2 linked regions of the Mus musculus genome follow. The protein of the gene in region 1 interacts with the protein of each later gene in a biochemical or structural test. Links are inferred from orthologs where the notes say so. Each region holds a gene or a part of one and is shown in the gene's direction. Other genes may lie near its edges.

Region 1 (4,245 bases):
AAAATATTTTCTGCCGGCTGTGGTGGCACACGCCTTTAATCCCAGCACTTGGGAGGCAGAGGCAGGCAGATTTCTGAGTTCGAGGCCAGCCTGGTCTACAGAGTGAGTTCCAGGACAGCCAGAGCTACACAGAAAAACCCTGTCTAGAACCCTCCCCCCTCCCCCCAACTTTTTTTTCCTTCCAACTACCGAGATAGCTTTGCTGGTTCTGGGTCATTTGGAGTTAAACTGCTTCTCTGAGCAGCGTGCACCCTCAGTGCTGATGGGGTTGTTAGAGAGTCTCTGTATGATGGGTGCTATTGGCTCCTCTCACCAGCCTCACAAGTTGCTTCACCTTTCTGGGTCCTCTCCTCTGAAGGGGGGGGGGGGGCAAAAATAGTCCCTTCCTGTTTGTATGGGAAGTTTGATGAGCAACTGTATTAGGCAGAGGTCATCATGGAAACAGAAGCTGTAAGAGTCAAAGACACATTGTTAAGGACTTGGTTGAAGAGAATGTGCGGGTTGACAAGTCCCACATGGGACACACCTAGCAGAACGGAAGACTCAATTTTGGGTTTAGCCTGAAGGCCTAACTACTAGGAGAACTGGAGGTGTAGAGACAGTAAGAACTCAGGAGGAAGGCAGATGGAAGGCCTTGGGGTGGGAACAGTAATTCCCTGTGGCTTCACAGAATATTCTACTCAAGTTTTCAACTAATCGTTGAGGAACAATTTACTTTGTTCAGTCTTTCCGTTTGAATGGTAATCTCATTTCTCACACACCCGCCATGTCCTCTGAGAAAGGCCTAGTCTAATGTTTAATCGATTGTATAGGCTCCCCCATACACAGCCAGGTTGACACATAAAATCCGCCATCGCAGCACTTCAGGAAGTTAGTGCTTCTTCCTCCCAGTGGAGCGTGATTCCACCATTCCCATAATGCACTAGAATGGGGGAACCCTGAAGGGGTGCTCTTCAGTTGAGCACAGCCAACGTTACTTTTATTCTCCAGTGTACAGAGATATCCTGGCTTGTGGCAGGGGAGATTCGTTTTTCATAAGAAGCCACTTTGAATGTGAGAAGGAAACTCCCCAGAGCCTGGCCTTCACCAGGGGAGAGGTCTTCCGAGTGGTAGACACGCTGTACGATGGCAAGCTGGGCCACTGGCTGGCCGTGAGGATCGGGAATGAGCTGGAGAAAGGCTTGATCCCTAACAAAAGCAGGTAACTGAGCCGACTTCCTAAGCATTCCTTTTAATCCCCTGTTCACCAGAAAGCAACAGAGCTGCCTCTGAGGAAATCAATCCCACGGGACCTCATCATTGGCCACCATTAGGTGTTTATGGAAATAGAGCCAGCACCTCTTTAGTTTTGAGCACAGCAGGCTTGGTTGCCACCCTTGGCTTATTTGAGGAGAGCCTGCTGCCTTGGTTATGGGAAACACTGTGTGGCCCTAGTCCCTTGCCACTCCTGGTCTCCATCTTTAGGAGAGGCTTGTACACCCTAGGGAACACTTGCTGGTGTGGCTGTAGGACTTAAGAATGGTGATCTGTTTGTTACATACATTTATATCACACAGCACATGAGCCAAACATGGCACGCTCTGTACGGAGTTACTGCTTGTGGAGTTCAGAGACCCTGTCCCTTTGATAAGACACCTGAGGAGGGCCAATGGGGATGCTGGGCCTCAGCTCGCTTCCTCCCTTGTGGTCAGTGTGGACCTCAGCCCCTGGGAAGATGCCGTCTATTCAGGGTGGGTTTCCCTTTCTAGAAATCCTGTCAGGTTGACAGTGATGCTCACACACAATGTTTTCTGGCTCCACTGTCCCCTTTATTGTCCCCATTGTCAATCTGTGTCTGCACTGGTTTTTTTGTTTTTGTTTTTGTTTTTATTTATATATATGTACTCTTTTTTTTTCTTTTTAAGATTTATTTATTATTATATATAAGTACACTGTAGCTGTCTTCAGACACACCAGAAGAGGGCATCAGATCTCCTTATGGATGGTTGTGAGCTACCATGTGGTTGCTGGGATTTGAACTCAGGACCTTCAGAAGAGCAGTCAGTGCTCTTAACCACTGAGCCATCTCTCCAGCCCCTATATATGTACTCTTATCTGAATATATCCCTGTATGCCAGAAGAGGGCATCAGATCACAGTATGGATGGCTGTGAGTCACCATATGGTTGCTGGGAATTGACTCAGTACCTCTGGAAGAGCAGTCAGTGCTCTTAACCCCTGCGCCAACCCTCCAGCCCTGCCCTGGGTTCTCGCGTGACAGTGACTGCGTCTTAGTAATAACCTGTTCCCATGCTGTGGAGAATGACTTCTTCCGGCTTCCTCTCTCAGAGCCGAGCAAATGGCCAGTGTCCAGAATGCCCAGCGAGAGAACGCCGGGGACAGAGCAGACTTCTGGCGGATGCGTGGCCAGAGATCCAGCGGCGGCGTCAAGAAGAACCTCCGCAAGAGCCGGGAAGACCTGGCGGCTGCTGTATCGGTTAGCACCAAGTTCCCTGCCTACGAGAAGGTTCTGCTTCGGGAAGGTGAGGCAGCTGCATGGGCCCGGGAGTGAGCTGCTGAGCTCTGAGCCGCTCCCGCCAGTGTCTCTGTAATCACTCAGTTCCAACTTCACCTAAGTCACTTACACCAGAGGTGTCTGAGGGGATCATGTCCCACGGGGAACCTGAGTGGGGAGGGCAGCGAAGGCTTGTCTTTTGGGAAAGCAGTGGAGTCCAGGCGAGGTGGGAGAGGTCAGTTTCTAATGCCGAGATTGCAGAAGTGTACACAGGGCATTTGCCTCTCATCTGGACACTGTAGGTGCACATCTGATAACTTCCTGTTTTTCCTTTCAGCTGGCTTCAAGAGACCCGTGGTTCTGTTTGGCCCCATAGCAGATATAGCAATGGAAAGGTTGGCAACTGAGTTACCAGACCTGTTTCAAACTGCAAGTAAGAGTGTTCATAGAATTTTGCTCCCGGAGTGTTTAATTTGGCAGTTCTCTGGCACACAGAAGTTGGAAGAATAAGGAATATCCACACACCCTGCCTGGAGTCACTGTATCATGTTGTCAGATAGATATACTTTCTCTCCACCGCTTGCTCACAGACAGACACACAGCCCCAGCTTTTGAAACTGTTTGCTGAGCCAGTCCAGAGTTTAAATTGCAGAGCTCTGAGACTTCATTCGAGAGTATACCCGTGAGTCTCCTCATAATATAATATTCTTTTACATATTGAAAATACCACTGTCCCTTCAGTAACAAAGAGATTTCATATTAGTGTTATAGTTGAATGTTGCTAATCTGAAACATTCTAAAACTGGAACATTTTGAGCGTCAACATGATACAGCACAAAGGGAAAATTTCATGCTTGCTCCCATACAAGTGATAAGTGTCTAATGCAGGTGTACTAAAGATGCTCTGTAAAATTACCTCAGTCTGTGTATATGAGAGAAAGATGACAGAAATATTTTTGGGAGGTGTGGGGAGGGAGCAGGGTCCCTCAGATAAGCCCAGGCTGGCCCTGAAATTACTGTGTAGCCGAGGATGACTTTGCATTTCTGATCTTTCTGACATCATCTCACAAGTGCTGATGTAACAGGAATATACAACCATGATTAGCTAAACCATGAATGAATCTTATATTTAGGTATGGGTCTCCTTTTTTTGTAGATATTTTAAATTATAAATAATTAAAAACTGGTAGCGTTTCTGGTCCCGAACATTTTCTTTTCTTTTTTTAAGTTCAGGCTCATCCATTACAGTTAATATTTATGACTCTTTAGGGACTTTTATATTTCCAGAAGAGATCAACAAGGTACTCCCTGCTGTTAGGTCGACCTAACAATTTCTTCTGATTAGTTTCCACTTAATAGGGCTGAGGTTGTAGCTCAGTGGTATGGCATTTGCCTCATATGAGTAAAACCTTGGTGTTTGATGTGTAAAACACATGCACACAAGCACTTAAACACACATGTGAACACTCTTGTGTATACACACACACACACACACACAGAGGAATGCACACATGGTTTCATCTCTCCGAGTGCCATGAGCTGGTGCCCAGTGTTATTTGTCCCACTGTGCTGATGTTAGCCTGGGGCATGTGGTTGTCACCTGCTTTCTAGCAACATTACTTAGCCCTGTTTTTCATTTGCAGAAACAGAACCCAAAGATGCCGGATCTGAGAAATCCAGTGGAGTGGTTCGGTTGAATACCGTGAGGCAAATTATTGAGCAGGTGAGAAAACTCCTCAGAAGCTCATGTTG
Region 2 (3,102 bases), on another chromosome or scaffold:
CACATCTGAGAGGTTTACAGTTTGTAAACTGTAGAATCATTAGGCTCATGCCTGTGTGTGTGTGTGTGTGTGTGTGTGTATGTGTGTATGTGTGTGTGTGGTGTAGGTGTCTGTGGGTGTGTTTGGGTGTGGGTTTCTGTGTGTGTGTGTCTGTGTGTGGGTGTGTCTCTGTGTGTGTATGTCAGTGTGGGTATGGGTGTGTGTCGGTGTGGGTGTATCTGTGTGTGTCTGTCTCTGTGTATGTGTGGCTTCAGTAGATTCTGTCATACAGCCTTCCCAGGAGCTTACACTAGTTCACACCTTCACTGAGAATCTTACTTTGTCCTTGCTAACACTTGATATTACAGGCACTGTTGTCTTGTAACACTTTTTGTTTTCAAAATACTTAATGCTAAAAGTTTTTATTGTAATTACAGAGCATAATGATTTTAACTAAGGTGTGTGTGTGTGTATGTGTGTGTGTTTCCTACTTTATTTTTTGAGATAGGCTCTTCTGTTGAATCTGGAGCTTGCTTTACTATTTTTGCTAGATTGAGTGGCCCAAGATCCTCCTATCTCCTCCCCCCAGTGCTCCTTACCCGACAGTGCTCCTCCCTCCAGGGCTGGAATTACAGGTACAGGCATCACACCTGGCTTCTTATGTGTGTGCTGGATATCGAACCCAGTCCTCCTGCTTTCAGTAATAGGCCCTTTGCATCAAAGCCCCTCCCTAACCCTTTAAATGAGTTTAAAGGAGTATATGGGGCAGAGGACCTGAGTTTGTTGCCCAGGGGAGCCAGCACCCTCTACTTACTTACTGTGTGTATGTATGAAGTTTGCATTTATGTATGTATGTACTTACTGTGTGTATGTATGAAGTTTGCATGTATGTATGTACTTACTGTGTGCATGTATGAAGTCTTCTTACTTACTGTGTGTATGTATGAAGTTTGCATGTATGTATGGATGCGTGGAGGAGCATGTGTACCATGGCACAGGGGTGGACTTCAAAGGACACTTGCAGGAGTCCATTCTCTTTCCACCGTGTGGATTCTGGGGATGGAACCCAGATCTCAGAGCTCTGCAGCTGGCGCATTTATCTCCTGAGCCATCTTACTAGTAGCCCCTGAAATTTTTTTTTTTAAAAGATAATTTATAAACACAAAGGTCAGTGAATTCTCATAGTGACTTAACATATTTTTTAGAAATAAACATATCCTTTGTAAAAAATCAGTTTAAAAGATATTATTGAGGAAAAAGGGCCATCTGCCTATGTGGTCAGTGATAGTGCTCAGTACCTTAAACCATCTGCCTGTGTGGTCAGTGATAGTGCTCAGTACCTTAAACCATCTGCCTGTGTGGTCAGTGATAGTGCTCAGTACCTTAAACCATCTGCCTGTGTGGTCAGTGATAGTGCTCAGTACCTTAAACCATCTGCCTGTGTGGTCAGTGATAGTGCTCAGTACCTTAAAGATACTCATTTAGTACTCATTACTTCTTTATGACTAGTCTTTCCTTTTTTTGTTTTGTTTTGTTTATCCTTGCTTTCTCAGGAGGCCCATTTTTTTAATTTAAATTTTTTTCATATAATTTTGATGTTTTCCCCTCTCTCCAACTCCTCCCAGATCCTCCCTACCTCTGTATTCACTCACCCAACTTGGTGTGTTCTCTTTCTCTAAAACACACTTTAGAAAAAAGGAAGAGGCTGGGGAGATGGCTCAGAGGTTAAGAACACTGGCTGCTCTTCCAGTAAGTCTGGAGTTCAATTCCCAGCAACCACATGATGGCTCAAAAACATCTGTAATAGAAACCGATGCCCTCTTCTGGTGTGTCTGAAGAGAGCTACCGTGTACTTATATACATAAAATAAATAAATCATTCCTTTTTTTTTTTTAAAGGAAAATCAGAAACAAAAACCCAGTATGTTAAAACAAAACAAAACAAAACAAAACACCCAAACAAAAAGCCCACAAACAATACAAAACAAAAAACCATGGAGTTTTGCATTGGGTTCTGCCATGAGTGTAGTTAATATATCCAGTGACACTTCTAGAGTTTTATTTCATTTTTAAATTTTTTTGTTTTTTCGAGACAGGGTTTCTCTGTAAAGACCTGGTTGTCCTGGAACTCACTCTGTAGACCAGGCTGGCATCGAACTCAGAAATCCACCTGCCTCTGCCTCCCGAGTGCTGGGATTAAAGGCGTGTGCCACCACTGCCCAGCTAGAGTCTCATTCTTTAGTGTGTTGGCATTTATGTGATTTACTCTCTCTGTCTCAGTCTGCAGATTATAAAAGTAAGAGGAATTACTGCAAGCAGTTGAAGAGCAAATTATCGCACATCAAGAGGATGGTGGGAGATTATGACAGACGGAAACCTTAGAGAGATGCCAGTTGCGGGAGAAGGGAGAGGTGCATCTGCCTGCACGATGTCTCTGCAATTCTCTCCAGAGGCAAACTGACTTTGGACTCTAATCTGGGAAGTTAAAACTTTGTGATCATTACAAAGTTTCCGTGGCTTTAATTCCATCAGTTTCCTATCTCCAGTATTGAAGCATTTTATAAATGGCTTTTGATAATTGACTGGGCTGAACACTCCAATTAAGGATTTTACAGTTTCAACATTGATTCTTGTATTAAGAATTAAAATGTTGCTTGATATTTTAAATGTCAAGAAAGGTCCTGGTGTGAGCTGTGATGTGTGTTGAGCTTTGATGTGAAGGTTCACACGCCAGGCAGTGTGTTCCTCCAGGTAGACCGTCTAATCAATCTTTGCAGCAGCCCTCAGGTGACTGTTATTTAGAATCAGGTTGTTTTTGGTTTTCCAGACAGGGTTTCTCTGTGTAGCCCTGGCTGACCTAGAACTTACGCTGTAGACCAGGCTGGCCTTGAACTCACACAGCTTCTCTGAGTGCTGGTTCAGGAGTTAACGTCGTGGACCGGTATCATCACTTTTCCTGCGGTGACTTCTCCAAACTGAAACTGCTAAGGCAGTTTTGGCTAAGTCTGTTTTATGACTGCAAATGACAGCATTCCTGCCTTTGTATTTCAGGGGAAATACGATACATTATATCGGCCACGTTCCCCACCACTGTTTTTCTTATATTGACTTTTAACAAATGAAT

What was found.
Region 2: the proteins of Tjp2 (region 1) and Ocln form a complex in vitro, tested with the Homo sapiens proteins (3 studies listed by BioGRID). The link is inferred for Mus musculus from reciprocal best matches to the Homo sapiens genes TJP2 and OCLN.

The regions. Positions count from the first base shown.
Region 1 is NC_000085.6:24,109,702-24,113,946, reverse strand, and holds part of Tjp2 (tight junction protein ZO-2), read left to right. Parts: intron 1-990; coding exon 991-1,201; intron 1,202-2,327; coding exon 2,328-2,521; intron 2,522-2,830; coding exon 2,831-2,926; intron 2,927-4,136; coding exon 4,137-4,216; intron 4,217-4,245. UniProt on the Homo sapiens protein: Plays a role in tight junctions and adherens junctions. Acts as a positive regulator of RANKL-induced osteoclast differentiation, potentially via mediating downstream transcriptional activity.
Region 2 is NC_000079.6:100,498,072-100,501,173, reverse strand, and holds part of Ocln (occludin), read left to right. Parts: intron 1-2,258; coding exon 2,259-2,360; 3' UTR 2,361-3,102. UniProt on the Homo sapiens protein: May play a role in the formation and regulation of the tight junction (TJ) paracellular permeability barrier.